Linked DNA regions of Bombyx mori. The protein of the gene in region 2 interacts with the protein of the main gene of each other region in a biochemical or structural test. Links are inferred from orthologs where the notes say so. Each region holds a gene or a part of one and is shown on either strand. Other genes may lie near its edges.

Region 1 (10,879 bases), on a different chromosome or scaffold from region 2:
ATATTCCCAGAGATATTAATTTCCATACAAAAACTAAACTAACTATACAGAAATTATGTTCCCCAAAATACGAAATAGTGGGATTCAAGAATTTATATACCGACTTAGTTTGGAGAGAGTTTGATTTTCCTCGAGTATACTTATGATAGCTGGGCAGAAGATCAAATATTAAAAATATTTTTATAGGTATTTAAAGTATTCGTTTTTAATTCTAGAAACTCTGAGTTTAAAAAGGTTCTCTGAACACACAAACTATTAGTAATGAAAATTTTATAAATTTTGAAATGTAATCGCTTAATTTGATCATAAAAGGATTTATGATTTAAAAAAAATACGGCGATTTTTCGTTTTACCGGCTTTCACTTCAACACCCAAAATCATTAAAAGTTTATTTGTATTCATTTATTATTTTATATATGTATGTAAAAAACTATTATATAAATACATATTTTTGTACACGTTTTATGATGTGGTGGCATTTTATATAGAGAAGAAAAATAATCGTTCTAAAATTTAAGAAAAAAGCTTTTGTCAGTATTTATCGTGCTTCAAACTCAATAGGCCTACATATTATAATACAATAAATCAAATGATAGTAGTTTTAAGTTATTTGTTAAAACTTAATCGCAATAAAAACTCGCTGTCTTCGAATAAATGGTTTTATTTTTAAATCAAGTTTATGATTATTTTAACCTATTTCATACGATTAATTTCATCCCATACATGACAGTGGTAAGTATAAGTTGCAACGAAATATGTATATGCAAAAACTGTAAAGAAATCAAACTATATTTGAATAACTCAACTGATACTAAGTCGAACACCGGGTGGAAAAAAAAAATATCTAATATTTTGGGTAAGTACTTTATTTCTCTAACAAATGCATTCTATATAAATTTTCAGCTTCTTCGCTCTCAAAGCACGGGTTGAATTTCACTTCAATTACTTCTTTAAAACCTTCGTTTGGTGACGGTTCAGTGAACTTGTTTCTGTTGTGAAAAAATGGTTATTAAAAAAGTTTTCTTTACCAAATTGTGTTTTCGATTGTCTATGGAAAATGAACATTTGAGTTCTGTTTTTTTTTTCTACAAATTCTAGTAACTTAGATTCATCGAGCTAGTAGGCACAGGGGAAAGATTCTTTGGGGGGATATTTGGGGGGAAAAAGTTAGTTAGAAATTTCGGAGGTTTTGTAGGTATCAATAATTCATCCACAAACACAGTTCACAATTACTATTAGAATAATTATAGTCTACTATACTATTCACAAGTCAATATTATAAAGGACAAATTATGCGACCAAATGGCAATAGAAACTGCCGAAGCGGTTCTCAGGATTCGATTTTCACTGCCAAATAGAGCCATAAATTTTGTTCCCACATCGGACATGTTAAATATCTTTAACTTCGAAAACGTGTATGCTTTAAATAATAATAACGAAAGTGAATCTGATTGTAATAATTGTTTAGAGATGGTTGAAGTTAAAGGGACAGCTTGATAAAAAAATAAAAGAATCCTTTTGGTTTTTTATTTCTTCTTTAAAATAAGTAAAGACTGTTTTGGGGGTCTTTTTCTTCAAAAAGCCTATTTTCGGGGGGTTTTCGAAAAAAGTTGGGGGGAAATTCACACAGTCATCTGGCAACACTGAACACTGGCCTTAGCAAGAGCAGTGCTTCGCAAAATCTACCACCGGATCGGAAACGCGACCCACTGAGAAGATCCGGCGAGAAACTCAGTGGGCGTTGTGTTTTTTTGAGTTAGCTAAACAGTAATGCACTCACTTGTAGGTATGGAATACAATATCGTTAACAGGAACATGATTGATCTTCATCAGTTCCCTAAATTTGTTATTATGTTGCGCATGGGCCTTAGAAGTAGCCATTTTAGCACAACGACAATCTACTTTATTTTGTTTTGCGAGTGATGTCCAACGGGAACGAGACTCAACATCCGGATTCGTACTGTCTACTATGACACTTTTTCCTTGCTGCAAAAAAAAGACATTTTCTTATTATAAAGAGGTTATATACTATACTGCCAGGGAGACTTTTTGGCGGGAACGCGAGAAGCGAAGTTATGTTAATTGTTTTATTTTGTTAATTTGGTGTGTTTATTCAGGCTTAAACGTATGTTGCTTTATTCACGGTTTAACATCTGTGAAAGTGTATAAATGTGGAAATTTGAAACAGTCGTAAAATCTGGCTTCTCGAGTTCTTCCAAAATGTTCACCAAAATCTCTGTAAATAACCACCATTTTACAGACTTTATTTCATTTCATCTCATACCGTTTCATATAATTTCATCCCAATTGATTACAATCTCAAATAAGTAAATTTGACCTCATTTCATCCAAATAATTTTTTACTACATTATTTTTTATATAACAGAATATATAAAATAATAAGCTATAATATATGGTGCGATACCTTCGTATTTCCTGTTGGAAAATAGAATTACTACTAGACTACCAATACGTCATCTGGAAATGATTTCCTAGCTTTTTTTAATACCATTACACATATTAATTAATGACAGGTGTACGGCTGACTAAAACATATTAAAAAAACACCCAATTAAGACAAAGCTAAAGATATTCCAAAATCTATAAAAATCCATAAAGCTCTTTATGGATACAGGGTGCGTGCTAAATAACAAAACATATTATAAAGAACTTTAATCATATCACACATATACTTTCGAAAAAAAAACTACCCTCATTTAAGAATATACTAAATTCTTAATTAAGAAACCTTGATAATAATGAACATAAAATATTAAAATGACTATATCATAATTATGAAATTTAATGTAGTCAATACGAATCACAACCTATTACCCGTTCAATTAGATTAAAATGTTATCTGATTGTGTCCATAAGACTTTCAATTAAAATTTCAATCAATATTGTAATATTACAATGCTATTTGTTAATTGCATTATTACTGATAATGATAAAGTGGACAGCTGGTGATAATGAACATAAAGACTGCCTGAAAATATGGTTCATTAAATTTCTCTTAAAGCCCATAGATATCAATCAAGTTAATGTCGCCTAATACCCATCTTGAGATACGAGTCGTAAATATAGCACTCCTCGCTCTTCAAATCGAAGCGCATTACTGCTTCACCGCAGAATTACGCTGGGCGAGCTCATAAAATACCCTACTACCAGTAAGTAAGCTTATTATATTTATTTGCCTTCGAACTTTGACTTACCTGCAACAATTTTGTGGCTTCAGCAGCACATTTTTGCCATGAGCCTAGAATATCTCTGCACACAGTCGCATATTTGTGATTTGATTTAGTTTCAATCTGCTTTGCCAAATAAGATTTTCCACTACCAGGAAATCCAACTAAAATTAGTATCTATAACGAAAGTTTTTTTATAACGACGTTATAACGAAATTTATTTTTATCGTTCTTTTGTTGTTGTCAACCTCACTGGCCATCAGGTGTTAAGTATTGAATGGCGCTATCTGCCGTAGGACGTGAGGTATAAGTCTCAATTGTGTTGGGTAATGGGTCTCCCCACTCTTCAAACCGGATCGCATTACTGTTATATGGCAGAAATAGACAGTATAATATACTCATGCGTGGTGGCTCACAAAATGCTCTATAAATAATAAATGTCGAAATACAGATCGCACTGTACTGGTATAATAGGTCCGAGAATGCTGCTACCCATTACTCGGTGACTAATCACCTTTTCAGAAAAATAGGAGGACAGGGGTTGTGCTGTGGGTCTGAAATAAAATTTGGGAAATAAACGTGGGCCAATCACGGCTGTACAGTCTACAAGCAAAGAACACAAGAACGCTAATTCCAAATGCTCAACTGTAGGAATTGCTGTATTGCTGTCGCAGCAGGACTTCATCAGTTTCATAAGTGCTCTCACTGTGTAACGTTTATTAATTTAACGTAAATTTCATTTGCATGAGACACTATTAAATGATACTTGATTCGCAACTAAATATATATATCTGCTTAAATTAAGGTATGCATTTTCGGTTTCTGGAACACTTGCAAAACCAATATTTTGATTAACTTTGAAATATTTCATCAATTTAAAATCTGCAGTAAAACTCAACTTAAAACTCAACCTCAAGTAAAAATAAAGTTTCAAAATGTTGAAAGAGAGTGAACCATTATTGTTGGAACTTCTAGCCAAAACTGCTAATAATGTGATTCCAACTTGAACAAAAAACAACATTTATTTGCTTAGTTAAGCATAATTATATATATATTGACTACTTTAGATTTCTTTAACCAAAGCAGCTCAAACAAAGACATTAACCTAGCGTCTCACAGTAGGTGGCAGCATTCACAATAGGATGTCTGTGAGTTCCAATAACCCTTAATATCTTTTTAGAGCAATTAATAACACCAGTATTGTATATTATTTTAGAATGTCTTTTGTTTAAAATCCAATTAAAAAAACAATTTTAAAATATATTTGAATGAAGTTTGACTAACCTCTTTATCTTTGCTAATTAGTTTATTATTAAAAGGTTCTACAGTTACTTCTTTAGGATGAAACTCAGGTTTACTCATTAGCACATTAGCAATAGAATGTCCCAAGAAGAATTGTTCGGGAGTATAAAATTTTAATTCCAAATTTTCAGCAAAGAGTTTGTCTGCCAAGGAGTGATCTTTCTTTTTACCAGGGGCCCAGTTTGCCACCCTTCCTGCAGCATCTCCACAATAAAAACTTTGGTTCATATCAACTTTGACACCATCATTTTTCTGTAAAAGAAAATAAATTAACATAAAATTCATAATATGCCTAGTTCTTTTAGGTCAGTATACTATAGGTTTATGTAGTTACCAATTCTGTCAAAATGGCTAAGCCCAAATTAAGTGAAGGCTTAAAAATATTAGAGATTTGTATTTCTTATAGCAAGACAGCTTTAATGCTTTAATTTAATCATAAATATGAGATTAAACAGACTCAAACTATACCTTTTCAGTCAAAGTCATCCACATTCCAATTCTAGGTTTCCTGTAAATCCCTTTACCAGTTGCTATATATGCTTGTACTGGCACATTTAATTTTTGGACAATACTTTCAATCTTCTTTTTAAAGTCTTCTATTTTAACTCTACCATTACCAATAGGGGCTTGATTGCTAAATAACACAATTTTGTAATCTTTTTCTAAAAATTCTTTCAGTTTTTGGGGCACTGAAGGAAATGCTATTTGCCAGTCATTTATGTCCACCGGATGAACTTTACCAGACTTTGTCTTGATTAGGGTTCCATCCATATCAAAAGATGCTATTTTGTCACTAGATTTCACTCCCTTAGCTGTAAACACATACAATTCACCTTTGTCTATTTCATCCCACATATCTCTAATAACTTTTTCAACTTTTTCTTTTACACTTGATGACACTTGTTCCACTTTTAATGATTTCTTTCTCTGAGATGTACTGTCATCTTCCAATTTCCTTTTGAATGTCTGATTCTGTGAGGTAGTTAGGCTTTCAGGAGGTGGATCAAATTCAAGTATATGCACATGATTGTTTAATAAAATCTCAATTGTTGATCCATGTCCAATTTCATACACTTCATCTTTTTTAAGAGCAAAACCATCTAACCCAGAAGCGTTTACCCCTAGTTGTTTTATCTCTACATGACATTTTTCACAATCTGCTTTTAAGCTTACTGTAAATGAAGAATAACAAGCATTTAGAAGAAGTAGAACACAATTATGGTAGGTATCAACTTAAGATTTTGATTTATCAACGCGAAATTATGTAGGATAAATAAAAATTTAAAGTATGTAAATTAATCTAAGCAAATAATTTTAAAAAATATGCAATGATTTGACGTAAAAGAAAATTATTCAAGATATTGCAATAAAGCTTGTTCAGCAAAGTATGCATTGGCACAATAAATAGGGTTTCTCAATTGAAGTTATCACTTACGCTGCTGTCTAGAACATGACTGATCCTTAATTTTTGTTTCTTTATTGCGCCCTACAATTATTTGTACGTTGTGAGGAAGTTTAATAGGCGCATGTGTATCTAACAAACATCTCAAAAAGCATAAACGAGACATGATAATAGTACGTACAGCATGAATAATGCGTTTAACATAGTTTTTATGAATTTAACTTTTGTATGGCATATTTAACAAACATGGTTATTTTTTTTAATTGGTACTTAACACGGTTTAATATTATAATATATAACAAGATAGGTTCAAAGGCTCGCAGATTTATTTAAGTACATTTAGGTATAGATTTTTTGAAAAATTAGAAATTAAATTAGGTGTATTATCTATGACAAATGACATAAAGTGACAGGACTTGTTGGCGGGAACGCGAGGAGTGAAGTTGTGTGATTTGTTTTATTTTGTCTATTTAGTGTTTCTTCAGGTTTAATATGTAATAGAGGTGGTTTTTTTAACTGTTTAGTATCTGTGAAAGTGCACAAATATGAGAAAATGAAACAAAGCCGCTGAACGTAGCTTCTCGGGATCCTCCAAAAAGTCCACTGAAACAGTCTCAGTAAATGACCACCATTTTACTGAGATTATATTTCATCCCATATCATCTCATCTCATTTCATTTCATGCCATGTTTCATATTAATCAACTTCATTTCATTTCATAATATCATTTTTCATGTAAAAAAGTTTTTATTAAAATTAAAATAAGATTTGACCTAAAGGTCTTAGTTACCAGGTCACAAAATCCCTTAAAAAAAATTAAGTGACAGTAAGTGACTCTTGTTTATAGAGATGGGTCAGATTTACAAGAACAGACCCAAGTATTAGGTATTTTACGAGATTAGGCTGCACCTAATCCCATTTTGCCAATATGTATAATCTACCTTTTCCACCTAACCTTCGTATTCTTAAAATCCTAATAACGTACTGAGAACTTGAGATTAGGAACAGGCAGATTGAGATTGCTTGCTTAGTAAAGTATTGGTTGTGAATGATATTAGGAAGATTTTATGGATTAGGTATTTCTTAAAATTAGGAGCTTGTGGTAAATCAAATACTAGTATCTGATTCACCTAGTATAACTCATCTCTAGCTGCTTAGGATAAGACGACGGAGGCTCGCTGAATTTGGCCCCACGTTTTTTCATTTCCGGATTTTTTTATTTTTTATTATTTATTGCTTAGATGGATGGACGAGCTTACAGCCCACCTGGTCTTTAGTGGTTACTGGAGCCCATAGACATCTACAACGTAAATGCGCCACCCACCTTGAGGTATAAATTCTAAAGTCTCAGTTTAATTACAACGGCTGCCCCACCATTCAAGCCGAAACACATTACTGCTGCACGGCAGAAATAGGCGGGGTGGTGGTACCGTGTGGGCTCACAAGAGGTCGTACCACCAGATTAGATGATAATAATAAGGCTTAATAAAGTGGAAACAACTTCGGGTAGAATTTCTGTATTGGCTACGTTCTCTTTGCATGTTTAATGGACGAATCACACAAACAAAAAATTACAATGCCACAGATCACTAAGAGATGTCAGTTTCCAAAAAAGAAACATGGTCATAGATAATACACTAGTTAATACGCGAAACCTACCTGTAATACTATGTTTCATTCATCAAATCAATTTCAATTTTCATATTAGGTACGTATGTGCTACTATGTACGTGGTAATCGTGCAGATTATTAATATTAAATAAATAGTTATTTTTTTATTAAAACTGTACTAAAAATTTTAAATGGTGAATGAAATAATTGATTTAGTCAGTTTTTAAGAAAAAAAAATTATTTTCAGTGTGGTCTTGATTCAAAACAGCAAACATTAAGGTTTGGAATGAGTAAATTCTACTGACGTGTTTTTTCAACATTGGCACTTTAGAACATTTGTGATGTATTTTAGGCTATAAGAGCAGCAATTATGACTTTAACAAAGCGCAAAAATTCACCGGAAAATGAGGAATTGATTGAAAACGGAGACGCGCCGAACGAAGGAAGAAGTAACATTAAAGGGGATGAACTAAACATAGCTGTTTTGTTGTTCCTATACACATTACAGGGTATACCACTGGGATTAGCTGGAGCTGTCCCAATGCTTTTACAAAATAAAGGCATAACGTACACGCAACAAGTCAGTATTCTAAAGAATTTTTTTTTATAATAAAAAGGTAATATTTTGCATTTCAACTATATCCGTTTTAAAATTTCAGGCTGAATTTAGTTTAGTAAATTGGCCCTTTAGTGTAAAACTATTATGGGCTCCTATAGTGGATGCAATGTTTTGGCCTGAATTTGGAAGAAGAAAAACTTGGCTTGTACCCGTCCAGTACTTGATTGGAATAGTAATGATTATAGTATCATATTGTGTCACAGATTGGCTGGGAATTGATGGGGAACCACCTTCAATGACAATACTTACAGTATCTTTTCTGTTATTAAATTTTTTAGCGGCCACACAAGATATTGCTGTTGATGGCTGGGCTTTGACTATGTTGAAAAGGTATGACAATCGCTTAATTATAAATATTATAAAAAGATGAAATTGACAGATTTGGAATTTGAATGTAAGATTTGATTAAGAATTGTAATTCTTTTTATGAATTAATTTTCAGGTGTAATGTTGGACATGCCTCGACATGTAATACAGTAGGCCAAACAGCTGGGTTTTTTTTGGGATATGTAATGTTTCTGGCTCTCGAGTCTCCATATTTCTGCAACAAATATTTACGAACAGAACCACAGGAGACTGGACTAGTGACTCTGTCAAGTTTTCTACTATTTTGGGGTTGGATTTTCATTATAACGACTACATTCATAGCTATATTTAAACATGAAGCTAATGATACCAGTGCAAGTGGTCAGGTGAAGGGAGGAAATGATATTGTTAGTGCTTACAAACAGTTGTATACAATTGTGAAATTACCAGCAGTGCGTAAATTAGCTTTGGTTCTGTTCACTGCTAAGGTGAGAAATATTTTAATTAATTAAATGAAATCCAAAGTGATTTAAGACACTATCCATTTAATTCATGTAAAATATGTAATATAACTTAATTGTTTTATAAGAAACATTTTATTATTGAATAACTTCAAATGGATAGATTCACTAAATCAATAGATATGATTTTACTTATTTGTGTATTTTAGCATATTCTTGTTTCAGCTTGGTTTTTGTGCGGCAGATGCAGTATCAGGCTTGAAGCTTGTTGAAGCCGGTGTCCCACGTGAAGATTTAGCTTTACTGGCTGTACCTTTGGTACCAGTACAGATCATAATGCCAGTTGTAAGTAGTCTCAAGTTCTTTGAATGAATATCGTTACTTTTTAGTTTTTGTCTTCTCAATAAATGATCAATTGCTGGTGGTAGGACCTCTTGTGAGTCTGCACGGGTAGGTACCACCATCCGCCTATTTCTGCCGTGAAACAGAAATGCGTTTCAGTTTGAAGGGTGGGGCAGCCGTTGTAATTATACTAAGACCTTAGAACTTATATGTAAAGGTGGGTGGCGCATTTACGTTGTAGATGTCTATGGGCTCCAGTAACCACTTAACACCAGGGGGGCTGTGAGCTCGTCCACCATCTATGCAATAAATAAAAAATTGCCATATGATATAATAAGTATTTTATGTAATGTAATAATTTATTGAAACCATTTTTCATTTCGGAGGATTTCCTGACACATAATTTTTTATTTATTTAATACATTGATTAATAAATGAATTATCTAATATCCCTGATTTAACTAAATTTGATTTTTAACCAAAATATGTAAATGATCTTCAATATACTATAAATTTTGATTGTTTTGCAGTAAAAGTTTTGTAAAATTACAGATTTTGGCTAAACACACAACAGGACCAGCCCCACTGTCTCTTTGGTTAAAGGCTTTCCCATTGAGGCTACTGGTTGGTCCTCTAGCGGCAGCCCTTGTAGCCTTCACACCAACACTGCTTGGTGACTCTGGACCTTCATACTCCTATCTAAGCATACTCATGTTACTGTATGTCTTTCATCAGGTTTGTTTAAAAATATTTCTTTAGCTCTACCTGTATAATGAGATTACTACATCAAGTTCACATCATATTATTATGTTATTTACTGCTCATATGTAGATAGATGATACCAAATAATATTTTGTTGTTGTAGTCATAGGGTACCCCGCTGGTACATAAAGCCTTCACAAGTTGTCTCCACTTGACCCCTGTCCTGTGCTTGCTTCTGGACATCACTCTAGGTCACGTCGACAGACCTCGTCTCGTTCTCCATGATGCGTCGCCAAGTGTGTACAGGGCGACCAGGTCTTCTCCTGCCACACGGTTGCTACTCAAACACGATTGATACTGCATTGACTGCTGCGCTGTAGGGTCTGTCCTATCCTACGCCATTTCCAATGTAATGTCTTGCGCGATGGGGGCTTGGTCATATGTAGTCCAGAGCTCTTTATTCAATACAGTAACTGGCAAGAATATGCATAGTATTGACCAAATAATATATAGTCAGTAATTTAAATAAATTAATACATAAATTGAATTTGTTAAAAATTACAAAGCTAATCAATTGTAACAATTTTTAAATAATATTATACCATCTGGAACTCTGAAAATATCCAAATTGTATACATTACACCTGTCCACTGTAAATTGCGTCGTGTGTCAGTATAATAATAATAATTAATGGCAACCATGACCCATCAAATCATTCAACCCAATACAGGAAATTCGAAAAGTTTGTATGAAAATATACTATACTATATACCTAGTCAGGTCATAAATTCTGTCACATGTTTAATATAAAATAATTGAAACAAGTTTATTCATTATGTAACCATTCATATACCAAAATGAACTTAAAAAAACATAGATTCTTATGACACTAAAGTTTATTCAAAATGACCTCCGTGATTTTGAATACAGGCCTTCAATCTGCGCG
Region 2 (10,821 bases):
CGAAAAGAATGCGATAAAATTACAACGTTATTTAGTTCCACGAAATAGAATAGGTTCAATATTGATGAGAAAACTTTACAAAAACAATGATAGGAAGTTCCACGAAAGTTAAGAATGAGTCATAAAATAGCAGATGTTAAATTTGTAATTTGTTTTGTCATTTGTTCCTCCTAAATAATATAAATAAATAAAGCTCGACTGTCGCTTATAGATGTATAGATAAGTAGTAGTCGCACTTACGGAGGTCCGTGAGGGAAAAACGACTCTCTCTTACAGAGGTTTCTGTTTCTCGCTAATAGAGGTTTTGGGAGCTTAAAATGACGGGTCCTGGCTATTACTCTCACTTATAGAGTTTTCTCGCTTATCCAGTTCTCACTTACCCAGGTTTGACTGTAGTACGAAACGAAACTGATTATCATCATAGACCACGACTACTCTCCTCAAGAGTACCCGCCTGTGAATAGGAAGCACGTCCGTCGTCCACCCATCTACGACGAAAAAACGGATGTGCACTCAACGTGCTCAACATTTGATTGATAACAAACATAACGCTCGGAACTGCACGCTACTTATATTAATATATTCAATTGTACGTAATATGCTATTGTAGAAACTTCGATTCAGTTCATTAACGCTAACACCTAATAATGCATCACTGCTAACGTCACTTTTCAACTACATACTTCTCCCGGTTCTGTTCCGGGCGGGCTCGAACCCCCTGGTTCAGTGTATGGGAGTCGCCGAGTGGCTCCGTTAATTAGAAACCGCCACACCCGGCGCGTTCTCTCGAGCCGTGCTCAGTTTCGAAGTCATTTGGAAGGAAAACCAACTTGACTTTTTTTTTGCTTAGCTGGGTGGACGAGGTTACAGACCACCTGGTGTTAAGTGGTTACTGGAGCCCATAGACATCTACAACGTAAATGCGCCGACTCAAACCGAAACGCATTACTGCTTCACGGCAGAAATAGGCAGGGTGGTGGTACCTACCCGCGCGGACTCACAAGAGGTCCTACCACCAGTAAAAATGTTGACTTTTGACTTTTAAAATGTTGGGAGTTCTCAAGAGAGCGAAAGAAAGAAAGCAAAGCACAGGTTCGGCAATGCGTGGAGTACTACTCTCATCCCTGGACCAGGACCCTCCAGTACATCTATTGCAGAAACAGGTTAATACAGAAGAGGGTCGTACGGATTACTCTATTCTAAGGCGCACGTGGAACCTCCGACCCTCGGTTCGTTCTGTGTAAGTCACACAGTCTACTCAAAGGAAATTGAGGGATTCTCATTCATTTGGTGCTCTAAGGTATTTTTTGTGATAAACCTCATCAACTCATTACTATAGCGCCACGGGAGTAGCCGTAGCGTCCCCTTCAAACAATGTGTTAGAAGAGCACTCAGCATCAGCCATAGATGATCTTCATGAGCGATGTCGATCACTCACTGAGCGCTATGCCTCGTCTTCTGCCTTCGTTAGACATTTTTATTTTTATACGGAAATACGAGTATTCCTTTTAAATGGGTTCGGATATTCATCCACAACTAAATGGTTCAAAACGTTTCCGCTGTTAATGAGAGAACATTATTTTATAAAACCGGACAATTTACGATTTGATTTGTTGTTTTTACGTCATTCCGCCTTCCAGCACGAGCATGAGGAAGGAAACTAGCTACAGCGCTGTCAACTTCATGCATTTAAATGTAAACATGTATCTAGAACTATAAAGAGAAGCTACAACAAAATTTCTAGAAGCTGTATAGCCATTGTACCGTAACTGAAGACTTAGAATATCTCAAAGTGAGCGGAGGCATTGATGCTGCTATGAGCTGCTGAAACCGTCTAAGAACAGGCGGGTCATCTTAGATAAACACTTAAAGAATGAACAAAATAGAATCTATTACAAATAATTTAAACTACAAATCTAGGTTACACCATTTTTAACTGACTTCAAATACAGATTCTAATAAGAGAATTCTAAATTGGGTACAAAATATGAGACTTGATACTCTAACAAAGATTTGAAGAGAAGACAACATAGATATTTCATTAAGTTTTACCAACCGATCTAAGTTTATTTGTGTTTTTCTATTACTATAGATTAGACACAGACACGAGAGCACAGTAAAGCAATACACTGTCACACTTACTATTTCCTCCATGCAGCTATGCACCAAGCTCTGTACTGTAACTGAAATGTGGATACGCGATACACACTCGTTGCTGGCACAGTTGCCTTCAGGTCGACCAGCCGGCCGGACCACAGACATGGACAACATTGTAAGTTACTATTAAATACTTAGAAAAATTAACGGTAATTATGAAGGCGATCTTACAAATAGTCATTACTAAATTCAAATTTGGGAAGATAAACTAGGATATCTGTTTAAAAAAACAATGCAAGTAAATATGCATTAATTAGATGGACTTCGAAGTACCCGGTGGGCTTCAGTAAATGTACAAAGGCTTGGTTAAATTGAAGAATACAAATTATTTGTAAATAGCATACTTATCGTCACAGATCCCGTGGTTACTGCTCGCTTGCGGCTGGGCGCGCTCCGAGCTGCTTCAAGATTTTATCCAGAAACGCAGTAATTATGGTGTTTACGCCAAGGACTTCTCCCAGGACTACGAGCCATATGTCTTCGCCGCCATTCCACTGCACCCGCCGATGCCGGTCCTTCACGTGTTGTCTCCGTCGCCTCTCTCAGCACCCAACAGAGACCTCCATCACTCCGCGTCCAAACATCATTCGGCTTACTCCAAGCCGAGCTACCATACTCATTACAGTACACCTTCGTTCTCCTCGTCACAATACAACAGACCTTCTCAGGGAAATTCTTTCTATGGGAAAACGTTCTCTTCGTCTGACTTCTCTTCCCTTACGTCACCAGACTTCTCCAAGCTCTACTTTCCTACACACACAAGACCATCTTTCGTGGAATACCCACAAACATCTTTCTCTCATAAAGAGTATCCACGTCCGCGTCCTTACGAATATCCCACTTACGCTGAATCTACGCTCTCTGCTGAGACGGACCTTGGACGTTTATATTCATCATCCGTTCCATACTCGTACCTAAAATCTCATCACAATTCATATGATTCAAGCCAAGAGTCGTCTCCGACGATATTGTACGCTCAGCCTACAGCGCTCGGAGGATATTCTTACCACAAAAAACCTACCAAGAAACGAAAGATACTGCCAAAGAAAAAAATTCCTACGGAATCACCCGTCATCATACGCGTGCACAAACACAGGATAACGAGAAGCTAATATTATTTAAATTACTTAATTTATAAATAGTGATGAGATTTATTTAGTTTCGTAACAGTCTGATACCAATGTAAATAAATTTACATTTATTGACCTTAGCTAGTTTAAGGCGTTTTAAATGTGTGCATATTTTAAAAAATAATTTATAACTTTTGATTGTAACGTACCTAGACAGAAAAAAAACTAGGTTACGACTTATGCTCGGCTTATTCAATTGTTATGTCAATCTACTAAGTCTACAACTTTAGCACATAGCTCGTAAATATCTATTTATGAAATAAAATAAATGGAATAATAATATCATTATCCTCTTGATATAGAAAAACTAAAAAGTTCCACTCCACATACTGTAACGCAAATATGTTATAAATTTTACTTTCATCGCCAATGCCGATTAAAAACAATCGGAAGTGGAAGAGTGAAGAGGAGTCGCGTGAGTCCGACGCAGTCACGGACGGGAGCCCGCGCCTCGCGTGCTTGAAATGATATTGTTCACTTTTATCATTTACAATATTATTAATGTCGTTCTGACAAAAGTCATTTATTCAATATATAATAATAATAATTTAATATACAATAATTTAATAATAATATTTTTATTTATTTATTCAAATTAGTTTATTCACGCGCCTAAATTTTATTTCGTTTTTATATTAGATAGACAAGACCTGATATTAAGTGGTTAGGGGAACCTGTAGATATAACAACGTGCATGCCACATCAGGTCAAAGTCTAATAATTTTCACAGCTTTTATTAGACTTAAACGTAAGTTTCCCATTACAAAAACCTAAATTCTAATAAAATATCAAAGAATAAAGTAAGAAGGAAATGCAAAATAAGATGCGAATTAAAATTTATTGTGTACTTAACGAGTAACGACCTACGAGTAACCATAGACTACACGCATAATATAATAAACGAGTATCTATCAAACAAAAGTTTCTCCTTGTTTTTTCTTTATAAATTGCATTTGGCTTTCGTTAATATACCGTTATTTATACATTGAAGCACAGATAATAAATTACTATTAAGCCTATTCATTAATATTATTACACGTTTAAACACAGAACAGCCACGCTTAAACGCGTTTAAACTAAATCTATCTTTTCAATAAAGTAAAAAGCATACCTTCTGTCCTCATTAAACCTATCAATCGAAGCAATAACATCATTATCATCACTTTTTATGTCACAAACATGGCTTGGGGCTTTTCGTTTAAATGATTTGGCTGTATGAGGTAAATCCACGATACCGGTCCGACGGATGAAGAAAAAAAAATTCAATGTTTTCTAAACAATATTAATAATTTAATTTCGATTTTCGACCGAATTTAACGAACCAACTATAAATTATTAAAAATTTTTTTTTTTTTTAAATAACTCATCATAAGTGACCGTTTATTGTTAATGTGCGTTAAGGGTAAAACAATTATCTTTATCAAGTACTATAGGGCCAAATTATTACATGTTCCTAAATAAAGGTGTATCGCTATGCCGCGCGTGAAAATTGATTACGTCGTTAGCTTCAGCAGCGAGGATCCTGTAAGTTTTGATATTAATCATAATCTAACCTATTAATTGACAAAAACCAATGAGTGATATTGAAACCGTAGTTGAATTTTTAAATTTTGCTTGAAACATGCCTACCTGATCGTAAGTGATTGTTCCCGGATGATAAATTACTAAGCCCTACCCACCGCCCACCACGAAGCACGGGATTGTAACGATATGATGATGACAGTAAGCCAGGTCATCGGATATTTTTAAATAATGTATACCTTTGTCGTATTCAAAATGCACCAAACTAGTCTCACTTTATAAACCAGGCCTCTCTCTTTAGCCATTTAAATTGAACTATATGAGGAATGTTGATGAACTCATTTGGATCCAAATTAATGTTATGTGGCTGTTTTTAAACTCGATTTATAGAAGAAACCGCAACTGCTCGATACATCTACCTTCTGCCCGGAGTAATCGTATAGTAAAAATCAAACCAGCAAAATTATAATTTGCGTAATTACTGGTAGGTACCACCACCCTGCTTACTTCTGCAGTTAAGCAGTAATGTGTTTCAGTTTGAACGGTGGGGCAGTGGTTGTACTATAAAAACTGAGACTTTAGAACTCATCTCTCAAGGTAGGTAGCGACATTTACATTGCACATGTCTATGGGTTCCAATAACCACTAAAACCAAGTGGGCTGTGAGCTCGTCCCCCCATCTAAGCTATAAATAAATAAAGAACTAACACAGTAACAGTAACAAAAAAATACTACACAATGGCATCCATGTCATATAGACAAAAGTCAATTTCATATATTTGATCACAGCAAAGTATGAATGGGAATCAAGAGTTGAAAATAAAGTTATCATAAATGTAATGGAAAGTTATTTTGTACTTAATGAGCATGCAGTAGAACCCTAATTAATAAAAATATAGTACAGTTTTATTAATTTAAATTCAAAAATTTCTAAGCCATATAATTTTTTTTTTTCTAAGCCCACATAATATCAATGTTATTAGACTACATCTTACCCCTGGTAACCTGCTGCTTTAGTGTTTACTTACAACTATACCACAATTCAATTCTTTTATTTGGGGTCTGGAGATACTTATTTTCATCTCAAATGTGTTCTGCCATCCATAACACAGGAGAAAAAAAGGGTTTGGGTAATGTTCTTTGTAACATGTATAGCATAATAGTATCTTTGCTTCTCTACCAGGATCACCCAGCTAACAATCTGTTGGCATTGGAAGTGAACAAGAAGAAATGGCTGTGCTGCAAGGGAGAGTCTTCCTGCTCAGTCGTACTTCAGCTGGCCAAGGCAGTCCAGGCAAGCTCTTAACAAACATGATCTATTAAAATCTTAAATTTTTTCATATTTGTAATTTTGATATACAAACCTACGATACAAAAAGGGCATGCTGAAATGTAAATCTGGTCTATAGTTCTATACCTTGTTCTAAATCACTCTTTTCTATAGTTTTTGTATATTTTGATTATTTGTACTCGGAAATGGGTTTCTTTGTGGATATAATAATGATATATCAATAGACAATAGTCAAGATAGTTTTCTTATATAGTGTATGACTTCAACTTTCCTCAAGTAAACCTGGCAAAAAAACCAATAACATCTTAAAAATCAGATATCATCAGTCTATCTTGGTGTGCATCATGCTGCTACTGTGGAGGTGCTCGTTGGAAGATCTGAAAAACCTGATGAACCCTTTGAGGTATGTTTACTCAACTGTTAGGGAACTTTGCATTAGGGGTCTTGTAATTGATGAATATCTAGGATGCTTAGGAGGGAACAGTTTCAAATATGGAGGCTTCTAAAATAATAGTGTACTTTGGAATCACTAAAAAGGTTACATTCAAAAATGTAGCTTTACTCTGGTTATCATCATATCTGAAGATGTCAACAAATGTCTTCACCATGAATAACAGGGTCTATAATTTTATATAAGAATAAAAATAGGATTGAAAAACTCAAGGGATCATGTAGGGCATATCCCGGCACCCGGCTGCTTCTGCTGCCCGTCGCTTTCAAACATAGATATTGACAGTGGAGTGACCGGAGAGACATGCTCAGGTACTGGTCCCCAGCAGCGTGATGTTGTCGCCCAGCGAGTCCCGGCGCGCCGAGGGCGTGCAGCGCGTGCGGGCGTGGCGCGGCGACCAGCTGGCGGCCGCGGCCCGGGGGCGCCGCTGGGACCGCCTGCGGGTCGTGTGCGCGCAGCCCTACAACAGGCACTGCCAGGTACCATGCGCCCCGGTTGCCCTAATAACTATCTATCTAACTAATATTTTATAAGTAATATATAATAAGTATTAAACACTACTAAAACCCGCGGTCATGAGGATCGCTAATAGTAAAACATAATTAAATTTTTTAAACATCATTAAAATAACGTAGGGTAGGACGTCCTCCTGCTAGATAAAGTGACGACCTGCGCAAGGCAGCTGGCAGTAACTGGATGCGTAGAACCGAATATCGGGTTCAGTGGCGAGTTTTGGGGGAGGCCTATGTCCAGCAGTGGACTGCCGCAGGCTGATGAGGATGAATTAAAATTGTTACATTAGGATATAAAAATAGTTTTGCTGTGTCTTCGATTCGCGAGACCTGGCAGAGATGCTATTGATGATATTCATAAGAGTACATATTCATTTTTATAAAACTGTTCATGGCTTCAAACTAATATAACCTTTCAGTTCGGCCTCTCGTTCTTGCACATCGACGAGCCCGGGGACGGACCCCCGCCCGCGCCGCCGCGCCCCCTCGCCCTGGACACCTTCTCGTCGGACGAGGAAGAGTTCAAACCTGGGGAATTATTCGCTAAATACTACACCCAGAAGGATAGTCCGCTGAAACTGGGGGACGATAAAACTAGCAGCCCGGCGAGTACAGGTAAATAGGTTTTAAACTGAGCGGTGTTGTCAATAAGGTCGATAATTCAACAGCTGCCAATTCTGAACCACAATTTTCATGTTCTTGGATATAATGTTTATAAATGAATACCTAATATTAGTCAGTTAGGAAACGAAGTTCAAACACGGTTCAGTAGAACGGCTTGTCGCCCCGGGCTGCCCCGGCCGGCGCCGGCACCCGGGGGCCGCGGCACGTCGGTGTTTGCCCCGGGGTTGCTCTATAATTTTATTTATTTACAATATAAATTTTATTTAACTTAATATTATTTCCGTTTAAACTTTAGACGAGTGCTTAACTGCGGGTACGTCTCGCAGCTTTCATACAGAATACAATTTTCAGAATCCCAAATACACAAGGCGACGTCCCGCGCGCTCCGCAACGTTCCCGGGGACTCCCCCGCCGCCTCCCCCGGCCTCAGCGCGGCGGCCACACTCCGACAGAGCAAACAGAACAGGCCGGCCGGGCGGCGCCGCTCCGACAGCGACGGGGACGCTCGGATGCACGATGAAGAGGACACCAGACACCATGCAAAAATAGACCAAACCGTTAATAGACATAAGGGTGACAAGATGACCGATGACAATAGCGCGGGGGACCCGGTGAGCTAGATTTGTCCACCAGATGCAGGAGCGGCGGAAGCGGCGCGGAACGCCTGTCGCGTTGTTGCCGGGAATATATATTTGGTTGAAGGACGGGCCAACCCGCGGTGAACAACCCGTTGACTTCACAACGCGAATGTTGCCTGAGACGTGAGGTCGAAATGTCAATTGTATTGTATAATAGCCTTCTCGTTTATAAACTGGAATACGGATATAGGCAAGACGGCGGTACCCAGTGTCCGTAAGTCGCCTTTCGACGACCCGGCTCACGGCTTGCGGTGACGAACAGACAAATAAGGCTTATCCTATTATACTGTATTAGTCATCAGGGGTGATACTGATGTCCATATTGTGTGATCACAGAAAGAAGTCCAGAAAAATATAGACAATATATCATCGAGAGCAAAGCGGGTGAAGCGAGACGACAGCGCCGGGACCGCGCCCGCCCCCCGGGGACAGCTCGGTGAGTCGCCCGGGCCGCTACACTCCACACCTGACCGCTGGTGTCATTAGTATATGTTACAGTCGCGTGTGTCGCAGCGGACGTGCTGCGCGGCGTGCGCTTCGTGCTGAGCGGCTACCAGAACCCGCTCCGCCAAGAGTTGCGCCGCGAGGGGGTCGCGCTGGGGGCGCGCTGGGAGCCCGTCTGGGGGCCCGCCTGCACGCATCTCATGTACGTGCCCTCCGACCTCCCGACATGTTGTAATGTCCGTTGTGCCACGTGGAGTACAGCGTCGTGTCGCCGGCAGATGCGCGTTCCCCAACACGCCGAAGCTGCAGGAGGTGCGGCGCGTGGCGGGCGGCGCCGTGCCCGCCGTGCGCGCGGACTGGCTGCGAGCGTGCCGCCGCGCGCGCCGCCGCGTGCCCTGGCGCCCCTACGCCACGGAGCCGCACCAGCGCACCGCACCACCACACGCTGCAGGTTCACGCACCACGCCGACAGTTCGATTGCTCATTCATTAATAAGAACAGACGGACGCCGCTACCAATATTTTTAAACCACAATACAAAATTAATTATTATTATTATTTTTTATTTCCTTTGTAGGCAGACCAGCATACGGCCCACCTGATGGTGAGTGGTTACCGTCGCCCGTGGACTTCAGCAATGCCAGGGGCAGAGCCAAGCTGCTGCCTACAAATTAGGCAAAAATGTAATTAAAACGTAATTTTGACCAATTACTTGTCGTCCAGAAACTGACGAGTCAGCGGACACCGACGAGGAAGTGCGGGACCGCGGCCGGGCGCCGAGCCCCCCCGCCGGCGCGACAGGGTCGAGGGGGGGCAGCGGCGAGCCCGACGTGCAGTTCGTGTGCGACGAACGAGTCAAGGCGTCGCTCGCGGTCGAGTCGGACTCGGACGAGACCGACGCTGGGGCCGACAGCGGCGCCGAGCACGCGGCACGTACACTCTATTACTAACGGATTAGTTAGTAATAGAGCTCGTCCACACATCTAAGCAATAAAAAAAAAAAAAAAATTACTTTTTTTTTAAATATTAAGTATTGTTTCCAGATAGACGACAGCAAGTCGCTGCCGGCGTTCTTTGAGGGAGTAACGTTCGCGGTGGAGGCCGGGGACACACAACTGCGGGCGCGCTGCTGGCGCTACCTGCGGGCCTACGGGGGGCGCGTGCTGCAGGTCGCTCGTGCTGCAGGCACAACAATATGACATGCCCTTCTTCAAACGAGGCTTGTAGAGAGTACTTAACGATAGGCAGCGGCTTGGCTCTGCTCCTGGCATTGCTGAAGTCCATGGATGACGGGAACCACTCACCATCAGATGGGCCGTATACTCGTCTGCCTACAAGAGCAATAAATTTATATTCTTATATTTATATTTATATAAATTTATATTAATTCAAAATAGTTAAAAAATTTCATGATTGTCACATTTCCTCTATGATTGGATAAATATACATATTTTCCTAATTTTAAACAAATGTACATTTTTCAGAAGTCTCAGCTGGATGAGGACAGCCGCGTAGATTACGTGGTGTGCGACGACGGCGCCGCGCCGCGAATCAAGGGCCGCGCCGTCACTGCAGCCTGGCTGTGGAAATGTCATCAACAACGAAAACTGTGTCCAATATAACGACAGCTCAACTTGTGAATTCCTTTCATTAAATAACTGTCAGCTAACAACGCCTTTTCTTTCACAAATCTCAGTAAATGACCACCATTTTACTAAGATCCCATATCATCTCATTTCATTTAATTTCATTCTAGTTGATTAGGGTCAATTCCCACTGAAAGAGCAGCGGCCGGCAGCGTCTTTTTTAGGCAAAATATTACAAACTATTTTGAATCTTATCTACGTGATTAAAAAGTTCATAGTCATTTGAAGGCAAAGGAGGGGTAGCGTGACGTCGCGAGGCTGCACGAGCCTTCTACCGACTAGTCAAAAGAGGCGCCGCGCGGCTGATCGCGGCGCAGCTAGCTGACGTGCGGCCGACCGCGGTGCAGCTAACAGACTCGCGGCTGCGCGCGAGCGACCATTTCATACCCGCCCGCCCTGCCGCTTACG

What was found. The genes of interacting proteins can lie anywhere in the genome.
Region 1: the proteins of DNA repair protein XRCC1 (region 2) and uncharacterized protein F21D5.5 form a complex in vitro, tested with the Homo sapiens proteins (3 studies listed by BioGRID and IntAct, with this or other methods). The link is inferred for Bombyx mori from reciprocal best matches to the Homo sapiens genes XRCC1 and PNKP.

What each region holds. Positions count from the first base shown.
Region 1 is NC_085114.1:7,136,365-7,147,243, forward strand, and holds uncharacterized protein F21D5.5, read right to left. Parts: upstream 6,337-10,879; 5' UTR 6,059-6,336; coding exon 5,926-6,058; intron 5,663-5,925; coding exon 4,959-5,662; intron 4,743-4,958; coding exon 4,473-4,742; intron 3,366-4,472; coding exon 3,216-3,365; intron 1,987-3,215; coding exon 1,781-1,986; intron 990-1,780; coding exon 866-989; 3' UTR 851-865; downstream 1-850. Other genes in the region: acetyl-coenzyme A transporter 1, read left to right, coding at 7,874-8,083, 8,163-8,452, 8,565-8,916, 9,115-9,234, 9,784-9,966. UniProt on the Homo sapiens protein: Plays a key role in the repair of DNA damage, functioning as part of both the non-homologous end-joining (NHEJ) and base excision repair (BER) pathways.
Region 2 is NC_085124.1:494,187-505,007, reverse strand, and holds DNA repair protein XRCC1, read left to right. Parts: upstream 1-4,307; 5' UTR 4,308-4,760; coding exon 4,761-4,811; intron 4,812-5,991; coding exon 5,992-6,102; intron 6,103-6,415; coding exon 6,416-6,502; intron 6,503-6,861; coding exon 6,862-7,029; intron 7,030-7,481; coding exon 7,482-7,677; intron 7,678-8,037; coding exon 8,038-8,297; intron 8,298-8,660; coding exon 8,661-8,760; intron 8,761-8,822; coding exon 8,823-8,970; intron 8,971-9,046; coding exon 9,047-9,219; intron 9,220-9,490; coding exon 9,491-9,696; intron 9,697-9,810; coding exon 9,811-9,936; exon of another isoform or gene 9,937-9,942; intron 9,943-10,251; coding exon 10,252-10,389; 3' UTR 10,390-10,439; downstream 10,440-10,821. Other genes in the region: uncharacterized protein LOC101737274, read left to right, coding at 2,261-2,272, 2,514-3,269. UniProt on the Homo sapiens protein: Scaffold protein involved in DNA single-strand break repair by mediating the assembly of DNA break repair protein complexes. Negatively regulates ADP-ribosyltransferase activity of PARP1 during base-excision repair in order to prevent excessive PARP1 activity.